Linked DNA regions of Macaca fascicularis. The protein of the gene in region 2 interacts with the protein of the main gene of each other region in a pairwise test. Links are inferred from orthologs where the notes say so. Each region holds a gene or a part of one and is shown on either strand. Other genes may lie near its edges.

Region 1 (4,119 bases), about 32 Mb from region 2:
TATATCTATAGGTGTATTGAAAGTTATTTAATTTTTTAGGCACCATTATTATTATTTCAACCTCCTGTCTGTTTTGGAACTATAGAAGGACTATTGCATATTTGCATGAGGAGTTTTATCATTCTAGTTGAGGAAATTGGGAGCCACCTTATTCTCAGGTTCACTTTGAAGGATCTATTCTAACCTATGCTCTAATTTTGATTATAGCTGAGTACTAAAAATATCAGTGTTTTTATATGTTAATTCTAGACCTTAAGATGGGTGAAATGAATGACTATAGTTGAATCAGTTAAATTAGCTCTCAGCTTTATATATGCTCTTTCGAATTTATATATAAATTTAGTTATAAAAAGTAGTTTGGTTAATGAGAGAAATTATATAGATATAGCTTTTTGACTCAACCTTTCTGTTTTTCAGTTTCCTTATATTTAAAACAAAAGAGAAAGAGTAGATACTAAGGTCATTTGAGCACAAAACTGAATTGTTTTCTTTTATCTTCATAATTGGGTTCTTAGTTTTTACTTGCCTATTTTTTCCCATAATTATAAATACCATTTAACCCTATTAAAATTTCATGGTTCTTTCCTTATAAAAATGTCCTCTTGTCCAACAAGTGACAGCAATTTTATTATAAATATCATTTTTTTTAATAGGGGCCCATTTTTGATCATGAAGATTTACTGAGAAGAAAAAGAAAAATATTATCTTCAGATGATTCACTCAGTAAGTATTTGGATGTAATCATAAGTAAATAGATACTTTGGGCAGAATACAGTGTTTGGTTGAATTTCCTCCAATTATTCAAATATTCTTGGGGCCAGTTTCATCTTACATAATTTCCCATAAGCTATAGAAAAATGAAGTATACATTTAAAATTTACCTTTCTTGAATATTATAGAACACGTTAGTCTTTATTTTTACAAGTTTTCTGAAATGTAAATAACACCTCCCACCAGTGCCACTCTTCATCCTCTCTTCCAGTTTTTCTTTTTCCCACACCATTTATACCACCTGATTAAACGCTTTTTATCTACTGTTCATCTCTGCCACTGGAATGTAAACTCCATAGTTTGGTTTTCTACTGAATCTTCAGTGCCCTGAAGAAAGCCTGATTGCTAGGAGGTGCTCAGTAAACTTTCACTACATGAATTTAAATTATTTGCTTATATTTCCATTGTCTGTCTGTTTTTGACAAAAGGGTCATCAAAACTTCAATCCCATATGAGGCATTCAGACAGCATTTCTTCTCTGGCTTCTGAGAGAGAATATATTACATCACTAGACCTTTCAGCAAATGAACTAAGAGATATTGATGCCCTAAGCCAGAAATCCTGTATAAGTGGTCATTTGGAGCATCTTGAAAAGCTGGAGCTTCACCAGAATGCACTCACGAGCTTTCCACAACAGCTATGTGAAGTAAATTTAATTTATCCTTGTAACTTTTAAGACGTTTGAAGAGCTTTTGTATTTATATCTAGTTTGCCTGATTAAGTCTTTTAAAAGAACATTCTGCTTTTGTGTCACTGGGCAATAAGTCCCCCGTTCTTCTGGTTTTTGCACACATATCTTAGTCTGTGTGATGTTCAGGAGCATCTTTGAGGGCAGGCCGTGGAAACAGATCTGATTAGAAAGAAATTCTAGGTTTTGTACAGAGTACATATTAAAGTCTATCAAGTGTATATTGATTAAACTTTAATCATTTAATTCAAGTAAGACAACGTCAACTATTTAAATTAGATTAGGTAAACTAGAATTAGACCTGGTTTGGTAGTACTGGCTCTGACTCAGCTACAACTGTGTGACAATACGAACATGTCACTCCTCCTGCTCTAATCTTTCATTTTCTCATCTGTAAAATAGAGATTCAACTAAATGATTATTGTGGCTTATTTTTTTTTCCAGTTTAAAATAATGTGTAACTTAAAAGATTTTCATTTTTGGTCAAAGTTCCTGTCTTATAAGAATTAAACTATAATATAGTTTGTTGATAGGATAGCTCTCTGAAAATTGACTTTGCTCAACATTTGTATGTACTACAGATCAAAATAGTTTTGAAAGCCAAAGAAGATATGAAAATTAAAATTATTTTAATGCAAATGTTTAAATTGTTAAATTAAATTCTCAAGGCTGGGCGTGGTGACTCATGCCTATAATCCCAGCACTTTGGAGGCTGAGGCAGGTGGATTTGTCTGAGTTCAAGAGTTCAAGACCAGCGTAAACAACAGCAAAATCTTGTCTCTACCAAAAATACAAAAAATTAGCCATGTGTGGTGGGGTGCACCTGTGGTCCCAGCTACTGGGTGCTGAGGTAGGAGAATTGCCTGATCCTGGGAGGCAGAGGTTGCAGTGAGCCAAGATTGCACCACTGTACTCCAGCCTGGGCAACAGAGTGAGACCCTATCTCAAAAAAAAAAACAAAACAAAACAAAAAAAAGTCTTGTTGCAAATGCATTTCCCCCTTTTTAAGTCTAAAAAATTATCATAATTTTGAGATGTTTTAAAGGCAATATTACATAAATTTTAAGTATATTTAAGGGGTGTTTTTCTCTGTAAAGTTTTTATATCTGGAGACAGAGAGAAGAAAGAAAGGTGACCCACTCCTCCAGCCATGCTGTAATGTCTAAAATGTGTCTTTCTCTCTTCACCTCTTTGCCTTGCTAAATACTTCAAGTCACCCAGGGCTCAATTTAAATGTCACTTCATCACTCTCTGCTTCTCTTCCTTTTTCCTTCTACCCTCCAGCCAACCTGGCCACCTAACCTCCATTTCCATAACACATGATGCTTTCCCTCTAATTCTCATTCAGTCATCCAATTTGATTTAAAGTACCTTTGCCCTCACTAAACTGTGAACTCCTTGAGGACAGGACTTGTTTCAGGCTTGTTTCTGTCTATTCCCAGTGCCTAGTGAGACCTGACATATGGTAGAAGTTTAGTAGATACTTACTGAATTGATTTGTGGAGGCATTAATGCCTGAAACTTGGTAATACTTCAATTAATATTTGTTAAATGAGCAAGTGAAATAATTCTGAGATTTAGTCTAGTTAAAACAAAGAGAATTGGAAGGCTGGGCACGGTGGCTCAAGCCTGTAATCCCAGCACTTTGGGAGGCCAAGACGGGCGGATCACAAGGTCAGGAGATCGAGACCATCCTGGCTAACACGGTGAAACCCCGTCTCTACTAAAAAATAGAAAAAACTAGCCGGGCGAGGTGGTGGGCGCCTGTAGTCCCAGCAACTCGGGAGGCTGAGGCAGGAGAATGGCGTGAACCCGGGAGGCAGAGCTTGCAGTGAGCCGAGATCGCACCACTGCACTCCAGCCTGGGCGACAAAGCGAGACTCCGTCTCAAAAAAAAAAAAAAAAAAAAGAGAATTGGAAGAGATGGTGATAAGGTGAGACATGCTGGCATTCAATGACTGGACAAGCTCAGAACCTTCTCTTAGGGAAATTTCAAAATGACACCATTAGATGGTACTTTGTTTGTTTGTTATTGTCAAAGAGTCTCAACTATGTTCCTTTTTATAAGAAAATTTTCTGATTAAACCCTGGGAATAATTTTAAAATCTTTACTTTGGAATAAGTTAATAAGGGTCTGAAACAAAGGCAGGAATTTTGAAACAACTTCTGAGGCAAAGAGTCATTAATAAGCCTCTATAATCATATCAAAGTCTAGAATTTCTTGTGTGGATAAATATACTGATATATAAAGAAGAACATAGAGAAGTGATTGTTTTTGGCAGTTGAGCTCTTTAAGAGTATTACATAACAAAGTTGTAAAAAGTCGATGTAATATGTAAGTAGGGGTTTGCTGTTATCATTGTAAAATTATAAACTGCTTAAAAATGGAAAGTAGAAATTTGAAACAAAAAGTTTCATAAAAAAGAGGAGGTTCTAAAATGAAACACATATTGTATGTAACTATTTTTATGGTTAAATCTTATATATATCAAAATATGTAACAATTTCTGACAGCATTTAAAACATATTCCCAGGATTATGTTGTGCTTTTTCTTAAATCATTAATTCAAATATTTGTTGAGGCCTATTCTGCTTCCATTTTGCTCTTTCTGGAAATAATTTACAAAAAAGCTGAAGGAAGCTTTCAACTCTATTTTCAT
Region 2 (3,959 bases):
TCAGGTAGCTCAGGGATGCAGCGAAGGTGAATCCCTGGGGCAAGTGTCCTCTTCTGGCAATCTGGCCTTTCTTTGTGAGTCCTCCATTAATCAGGTATTAAAGACCTTATGTTCCTTGGTCTCAGGCAACTAGACAGCCTGAAGGCCAGCAGCATAGGGGATTTGAGAGCTAAGGCTCATCTTTAGTTTCCAGTTTTCATTCATCAGGCCTACATGTCACTATTCAAATCTAAAATCTAACATGTGCTCAGAGCTGATTTTGGCTTCTTCACCATTCCAGGTAAAACATTTGATGACTTGCCTAGGTTTATCCCTTCTGGCCATAAATTTTTTCCTGAAATCTTGGAATAACCTTGTTCATTTGTATGGTATATAGAATGAAGTAGAATGGATTTTATCTGTTTATTTATTTAAAGCTTCTTAATGGTGTTTAAATCTGTACTTCATTTACCATCTTTGTTTCTGTCAGTTTATAATTACACTTTGCAACCTATTGTTTTATTTCTGTCTTCACTTAAGGGTAGTTCATTTTGATTCCTAATGATGACATTTATTCCATATGTCCTTGGGGCGTGGTGTGTATGTATTCATAAAAAAGAAAAGTGCTTATGAGTTATCTTCATTAGGCTTATAGCTTCACATTCCTATTAGCAAGCCCTCTTTTTGATTACTATTTTGAATATACAGTTGTTTTTTCTTTTAAATAACCATACTGCATTCTTCATTGTAGATCCAACTGAAGAACCAGCACCACAGGCCACCAATACAGTTGGTTCTGTTATTGGAGTAATTGTCACCATTTTTGTGTCTGGAACTATATACTTTATCTGCCAGAGGATGTTGTGTCCACGTATGAAGGGAGATGGGGAAACCATGACTAATGACTATGTAGTTCATGGACCAGCTTCTGTGCCTCTTGGTTATGTGCCACACCCAAGTTCTTTGTCAGGATCTCTTCCAGGTGAGTCAGAATGGATCCATTGAGTATCAAGTCTTTGGTCCTGCAAGACTGCCAGGTTTCCACTGTGGAAGAGAATACTACCTAGAGTCTGTTTGAAACCATATTACTCTGAGTTTAAACAATTAGAAGAACAAATGTTCTTTTTTACTATTAGCACCTTCTCTTTACACAGAAGGCCTTAGATATGGTTTGGTAGGAATTGTCAGAGCCTATAAAGCAAATACATATGCAAGCTCTAAGCCTCTCTGACTACAATTCTGGATGCATGCTACAGAAGGTGAATCAGCCAGTCATTTAGTGAAAGAGTTATAAACCACAGGTTCTTTAAGTTCACCACCAGGGAACTCTAGTACTATGGAGCCCATGAATAAAAGGAGGCCAAAAATTATGTAAGACTCCCTTCAGCCAACAAAGATTTGTAAATAGCTGGATGATAGAAGGGAGGAATATGTCTTATGTTTTCTCCTGACTTCATGTGCTAACAGGGGACAAAGGGCTAGTTTGGGCATAGCTGAGTGGCCAGAAGTTTTACACTTGGGTAGGCCATGTTGCTCTAGGGAAGTGGCGTTCTTTTTAATGTTTTCTGGTGCCCTTAATTAAAAGAAGCCTTCCTTTTAATGAATATGGAGAAGGAGGTGCCTTGCAAAAACCCTCTAAAAATAGGAACTTACTATGGGTGTAACTCTTAAGTAGACAAACATGGTTTTTAAACTGTTAATGGTAATGTGTCTTTGTTGCCATACCTATTTTCAGTTAGTGAAATTTGGGAAGCTTCTTGGAAAAAATAGAATTTCTTCTTTAGCACTGGTAGTTTTGATTCTAGAAACATTTATATTCATTAGATGAAAAAATACTCTTTCATATGTTGTTTGTACCCTAAAAAATGCTTTTTGTTTTCTTTTGAGCAAGTCTGTTATGTAATATACCCTGCCTCACAACCTCTACCCTTTACAATCCTTTCAAATCCTCCAAGAGGTTGAAAAGCCCTTATTTTAAATAGCTCTGCTTCTACCAGGGGAGGGAGAAGGTGGGAGCTGTTCTTGGCTTTGTTCTAGGCCAGCTTTTTCAGTGGAAGCATTCACTTCTAGAGAACATTCATTTCCTTTCTCCATTAAATGTTTTCAATTATAGGAATAGAGTGTAAGTTATTTTAAAATCAGACTACTTGACTATTGATATTTGTCATCCTACTGTTGAATAAAATTGCTTGATACATTTTTATAGATCTTACGCATCTTCAGTTTTTATCCTCCTTTTGTTTTAGGAATGTCTCGAGGTAAATCAATGATCAGCTCTCTCAGTATCATGGGGGGAAGCAGTGGACCCCCCTACGACCGAGCCCATGTAACAGGAGCATCATCAAGTAGTTCTTCAAGCACCAAAGGCACTTACTTCCCTGCAGTAAGTAGTCTGTTTTCCTTTGAATGCAGCATACATAGGATCTTAGATATTTAACTCATTTAAATGTGGGTGATCAGTGATAGTAATGTAAAAGTCGTTTTTGAATGTGAAATTTAGGCATAAAGGGCTCAAAGAAGGATTTACCACATCCCGCCCCCCAATGCTTGTAAGTCTTTTAAGTTACTGTGTAATAACCAGAATATTTGAAAGCATTGGGCATTACTTTCACATTTCAAGTAAAAGTGGAACTACTGAATGGTACCTCTTGAGGGATGAGGACCTTCATTTTACGACTTCCCAAAAGAGGAAGCACACCTGGAATTTCTCCTAAATCAATAATTTTTCTCTAAATACTTATAATTTTAAATAACCAGGACTTAGCTGTGCTGACCAATGATTTTTAGGTTACAGATTTTCGTTTTTGTCATTTTGCACTTTTTAGCCATGATGAGGTCTTAGGGAATGAGGAAGCCATAGTCCCAAAGTACTGTTTGAGGTCAGTTCTTTGGAAAAGAAGAATTGTGCTAAGATATATTGTTAAGAAACACTAATAGAGATAAGGAAGAAAAGCTGAAAGAAAGTCTAATCGTTTCTGTGTTGTTACTTTAATGTTTTAATTATTTTTCTTTTAGATTTTGAACCCTCCACCATCCCCAGCCACAGAGCGATCACATTACACTATGGAATTTGGATATTCTTCAAACAGTCCTTCCACTCATAGGTCATACAGGTAAGACACACCCCCCTCTAAAATACGTTGCAGTATTTATTAGAAAGTGTTTTAGTTGTGGACCTGATGTGTCTCCAAATGAGCAGACGATGGTCACCAGAGAGAGGCTAGTCATCTTGTCCTGGTAGTACTGACATTGCCTCTACCACAGATCCTTTCCTTTCAGGACTTTATACTTTTTTAAAAAATTTTTTGAGATGGAGTTTCACTCTTGTCACCCAGGCTGGAGTGTAATGGCATGATCTCAGCTCACTCGTGTAGTGATATGACCTCACTCGTGTAGAAATAAAGTGGGAACCACTTAAAGTATCTCACTCAGAATTCTCATTTCAGTTCAGATAAGACTGTTTAAAATAGCCTTGGCTTTGAACTGATTGTTTTAACGATTTGTTGTAATGCTGCTTTCCCTGACACAAGTTTCTTCTAGGAAGCCAAAACAGAGAAAGCAGAAGCCTGAAAATTGAGAAATGAGAAAAGATATAAAATATTATTTTTAAAAAGTCATGTCTTTAAATCAAATTGAATGAGGCAGTCAGCAGAATAAACATGATTGCATAAAAAACTGTTCTTGCTTAACTATTTTCCAGATAAGCCCAATTTCTGTTCCTCTGAGTCAAAACTTTCATCATTTGTTGAGATTTTGGTCTAAACTGGGACGTGAAAGAATTTTGTTAATTCAGTTTGTTTTATTTTTTTCATGAAAATAGAAGTATTTGGACTTTTAAATGTTAACCTTAGAAATTTCACCAAGGATTGACACCTGATTGGACAAAAAGTTAAGACCAAAAACAAAACAAAACAAAACAAAACAGTAACTGTGACACCATGTCAGTATTGATAGTAAAAGCCTTTGAGAACTCGCTCAGT
Region 3 (4,119 bases), on a different chromosome or scaffold from region 2:
GTGGCCTGGGTTTAACCGGTAGGCTTCCAGCTCGTGTGGGAGGAGAGTAGTCTGGAGACAAGGAATTGGGGGATACCCTAGGGGACCTTGAAGCTGGGACACAGGGAGTAGCTGCCTGGCTGTTGTGGGGAGTGAGTAGGGAGGGGCAGCCGAGAGAGTTGGTCGTATACTGAGACTCTCTCCCTTTGCCCTCAAGAACCGAGAGCTGCAGATCATGCGTAAGCTGGACCACTGCAATATTGTGAGGCTGAGATACTTTTTCTACTCCAGTGGGGAGAAGGTGAGACCTCGAGGTGGTGGTGGTGGTGGGTTGCTCCACCTCGACTCCAGCCATTTTCTTGCCCACCTGCCTTTCCCCCACTGCTGCCTGCACACCTTCCTTCCCCCTTCCTCACTCTTCTCACAGTGCCTCACGCCTCTCCTTTGCTCCCTGCAGAAAGATGAGCTTTACCTAAATCTGGTGCTGGAATATGTGCCCGAGACAGTGTACCGGGTGGCCCGCCACTTCACCAAGGCCAAGTTGACCATCCCTATCCTCTATGTCAAGGTATGCTGGCAGGCGGGCTGCTGGGACCCAGACCCAGAAAGCCAGGGGCTCTGGAGCCTCCCACCTTTTATGGGATCCCTCATCTGCCAAGTTTGTGTTGGTTTTCGGAGGCCCCATGACCCCCAGAGATGGAGCTTGCCTGACACAGGGGAGGGCCAAGGCAGGCAAGGCCTAACTGAATCAGGAAGGCAGCCTGACCTGGGGCTGCAGAGGCTGCCAGGTACTTGCTTAGGTCCATATAGGGAGTCCAGTGGCACCAGAGATGTTGGAGTTAGCTCAGGATAAGGGGTGGTGGGGACCAGGACTGCATAGGAAGCTGCTGAGGCCAGAGTTCGGGCCTTTAGAGCCTTGGTTGGGGGTAGGTGGGAAGGAGTTAGGGTTGGAGGAAGGTTAGCATCCACACAGCCAGGAATGCATCTCCGTCCATCATCTGTGCAGGCTCATTCCTCAGTGCCTGGTGCCGTGCCCTGGGTGTTACAGACCTTCAGGAGGTGTTTGAATGAATGAATGAATGAATGAATGAATGAATGAATGAATGAATGTATGATTGCAGCCCAGGGATGATGTGGCAAACAAGCTGGAGCAGCCTACTGCATTGGAAGGAGGTGGGTGGGTTTGTTTGCTGGAGGTCACTTGGGGCCCAGCTGCTGCTTCTGCTGGCTTTACGTACCCAAGCCTGGGTGAGCCGATGTGGACTCTACCAGTGGTTGTGGCTGTTGGACCTCACCTCCCAGGAGGGGAGCTCTCTGGTTTGGCCAATCTGTCCTGTGGCTGCCTGCACACGGGGCCCAGGGCTGAGGAATTCCAGACGCACCACTGACTGCGACGCAGGCCTTGCCCTTGAAGAGCTCTCAGTTTGGTAGGGTAGACAGGCATCATCACAGAAAACTATTAAATGAACTAGCTGCTGCCATACTAGAAGGAACACAGGGAATTCTGGAAATGGAGGAAGCACCCAGCCTGGTGTGTGGGTGAGAAGGATCAAGGAAAGCTTCCTGGAGGAGACCAAGCACAGGGCAAGGGAGCGGCATCTTTGGCCGAGGGGAAGTGGAATAAAGGGAAGGGGGTCTAGAAAGCAGCCCTGTCAGGCCCTGGTCTGTCTAGGCCCTGGGGGATGCAGCAGTGACTGAAACTCAAAATCCTGCTCTCATGGTACTTCTGTTCTAGTCAGTGGGAGGGAGAGTGGCAGGAAAATGAAGCTGGCGAGGGGGCAGGCTCAGGGGTGGTTTTGATTGTCGGATTAAGGAGCCAGTGGTTTTGGTGAGGGGGAAGCTGAGTGCCTGGCTCCCTAGCCTGTTTTATGACAACCTCCTGACATATCTTACTCTTCAGGCTTCTGCCAAGGGTTGTGATTAAAGCAGTGGTTCTCAGAGTGTGGTCCGGGGACCAGCATCAGTGCTGGAGAGCTTGTTGCAAATGCCTGATTCAGAACTCACTGACCAGAAACTCTTGAGAATGGGGCCCAGCAGTCCCTGTGTTTTTGTTTTTTGAGACAGGGTCTCACTCTGTCACCCAGGCTGGAGTGCAGTGGCGGGATCTCAGCTCACTGGAACCTCTGCCTCCTGAGTTCAAGTGATTCTCTTGCCTCAGCCTCCCGAGTAGCTGGGATTACAGGCGTGCACCACCACGCCTGGCTAATTTTTGTATTTTTAGTAGAGACAGGGTCTCAACATGTTGGCCAGGCGGGTCTCGGCCTCCCAAAGTGCTGCGATTATAGGCGTGAGCCACCACGCCCGGCCAGTAGTCCCTGTTTTAACAAGTCCTCCAACTGACTGTGGTGCACACTAAGAGAACCAAGGGTTTCAAACGGGTTTCCCCAAAGCTGTGGTGGCACCAGGGAGAGTGGGCCTGGAAGGGCTCTTCAGGCCAAGCTGGTGGGGTAGTGGTGCTGTATGGGGAAAGCCGGGCTAAAGTTCTGCTGTCCTGTGCCTGCCCCAGGTGTACATGTACCAGCTCTTCCGCAGCTTGGCCTACATCCACTCCCAGGGCGTGTGTCACCGTGACATCAAGCCCCAGAACCTGCTGGTGGACCCTGACACTGCTGTCCTCAAGCTCTGCGATTTTGGCAGGTGGGCCTGGGGCGTTTTGAGTGGCTGAAGAGGCAGGGGGGACCCCAGCCCTTGCCCCGTGTTTACCCCTGCCCATCTTTTCCCACAGTGCGAAGCAGTTGGTCCGAGGGGAGCCCAATGTCTCCTACATCTGTTCTCGCTACTACCGGGCCCCAGAGCTCATCTTTGGAGCCACTGATTACACCTCATCCATCGGTCAGAGTTATGGGAGGGGGGTGGGGGGAGTGGCAATCTGGGAAATTTCGGAGTTTACTGTGCGCTGTATGCCAAGCTTGGTGATGAAAGCTTAACTTCTGTTCTTGTATCCAGTCCTCACAAACTTAGGAGGCTGATGCTGTTGAATGCTCATTTTACAGATGAGCTTAGAGCTGTGAGGCTGCCTGCCTGCACTGGCACCACTGGGACTGGGCAGGGCTGGGATTTGAAAGCTGACCTGACTCCAGAGTCCATACCAGCTCTGGAACCTCCCTGTCAGCCCTCTGTTCTCAGCTAGGGGGAAGGGCTGCCAGAGACCTTGGGGGAACCAGGAAGCAAAGCTTTGCCACCATGAAGGTGCAACTTGCTCCCAGGGCCTCTGTGTCCTTCCGTTTGTGGGGACAACTGCCATTTTCCAGGCATGAGGGGAAGCCTGAATTGAGGGAATGGGCATGAAAGACTTTGAAAGGGTACCTTCCACAGCAGCGTGACAAACTGTGGAGTCCTTAGGTATGAACTCGTGCTGTGGGGGGTCAAGGTACAAAGCAGGGAGGAGTGAGACTGCCAGGCTGTAGCTCTTCTCATGGGCAGGATAAAGGTTGGAACAAGAGGAAGGCAGTCCAGGATTTAAGGCTGTACCTTCCTGTGGCCCAAAGAACATGGGTGCCTGTTGGCAGGTTTGGGCCTAGTTTGGTCTGTCGTCCAAGGCTAGTGGGAGAGAGCGAGCTCATTGAGGTCCTTAGCAGAGAGAGGAACTGAGGGCTGGAAACACACCTATACTAGAGAGTGGAGCAAAGGCTTGCAGACCTGCAGGGTCAAGGTTAGGCCCATGTTTCTAAGCTGCATGTGTCCTTGGGACAGGTGCTTCGTCTTTGAGAAAACAGGGCTCCTGACACTCTTAGGATGGCCATGAAGAATAAAAGCACTGGGAGGTTGGTGGCCCTACTCGCCTAGCCCTGACGCTGCCCCCATTTCCCCTTAGATGTTTGGTCAGCTGGCTGCGTACTGGCGGAGCTCCTCCTGGGCCAGCCCATCTTCCCTGGGGACAGTGGGGTGGACCAGCTGGTGGAGATCATCAAGGTGAGGGGCGGGGCCGGGGTGGGCAGGGGGTGGGGCTGAGGGATGGGGCCCTTGTCTCAGAACCCCCCCTCTCTTTACAGGTGCTGGGAACACCAACCCGGGAACAAATCCGAGAGATGAACCCCAACTACACGGAGTTCAAGTTCCCTCAGATTAAAGCTCACCCCTGGACAAAGGTGGGGCAGGACTAGGGGCTCAGGGCAGTATGGCTGAGAGCTGGTCCCCTTT

The links.
Region 1: the proteins of LRP6 (region 2) and LRRK2 interact in binary tests that used the Homo sapiens proteins (3 or more experiments, as listed by UniProt). The link is inferred for Macaca fascicularis from reciprocal best matches to the Homo sapiens genes LRP6 and LRRK2.
Region 3: the proteins of LRP6 (region 2) and GSK3A interact in binary tests that used the Homo sapiens proteins (3 or more experiments, as listed by UniProt). The link is inferred for Macaca fascicularis from reciprocal best matches to the Homo sapiens genes LRP6 and GSK3A.

Annotation. Positions count from the first base shown.
Region 1 is NC_088385.1:46,776,011-46,780,129, forward strand, and holds part of LRRK2 (leucine-rich repeat serine/threonine-protein kinase 2), read left to right. Parts: intron 1-653; coding exon 654-723; intron 724-1,199; coding exon 1,200-1,417; intron 1,418-4,119. UniProt on the Homo sapiens protein: Serine/threonine-protein kinase which phosphorylates a broad range of proteins involved in multiple processes such as neuronal plasticity, innate immunity, autophagy, and vesicle trafficking.
Region 2 is NC_088385.1:14,886,555-14,890,513, reverse strand, and holds part of LRP6 (low-density lipoprotein receptor-related protein 6), read left to right. Parts: intron 1-730; coding exon 731-961; intron 962-2,225; coding exon 2,226-2,362; intron 2,363-2,994; coding exon 2,995-3,092; intron 3,093-3,959. UniProt on the Homo sapiens protein: Component of the Wnt-Fzd-LRP5-LRP6 complex that triggers beta-catenin signaling through inducing aggregation of receptor-ligand complexes into ribosome-sized signalosomes.
Region 3 is NC_088393.1:49,289,105-49,293,223, reverse strand, and holds part of GSK3A (glycogen synthase kinase-3 alpha), read left to right. Parts: intron 1-196; coding exon 197-280; intron 281-436; coding exon 437-547; intron 548-2,485; coding exon 2,486-2,616; intron 2,617-2,704; coding exon 2,705-2,811; intron 2,812-3,793; coding exon 3,794-3,891; intron 3,892-3,971; coding exon 3,972-4,067; intron 4,068-4,119. UniProt on the Homo sapiens protein: Constitutively active protein kinase that acts as a negative regulator in the hormonal control of glucose homeostasis, Wnt signaling and regulation of transcription factors and microtubules, by phosphorylating and inactivating glycogen synthase (GYS1 or GYS2), CTNNB1/beta-catenin, APC and AXIN1.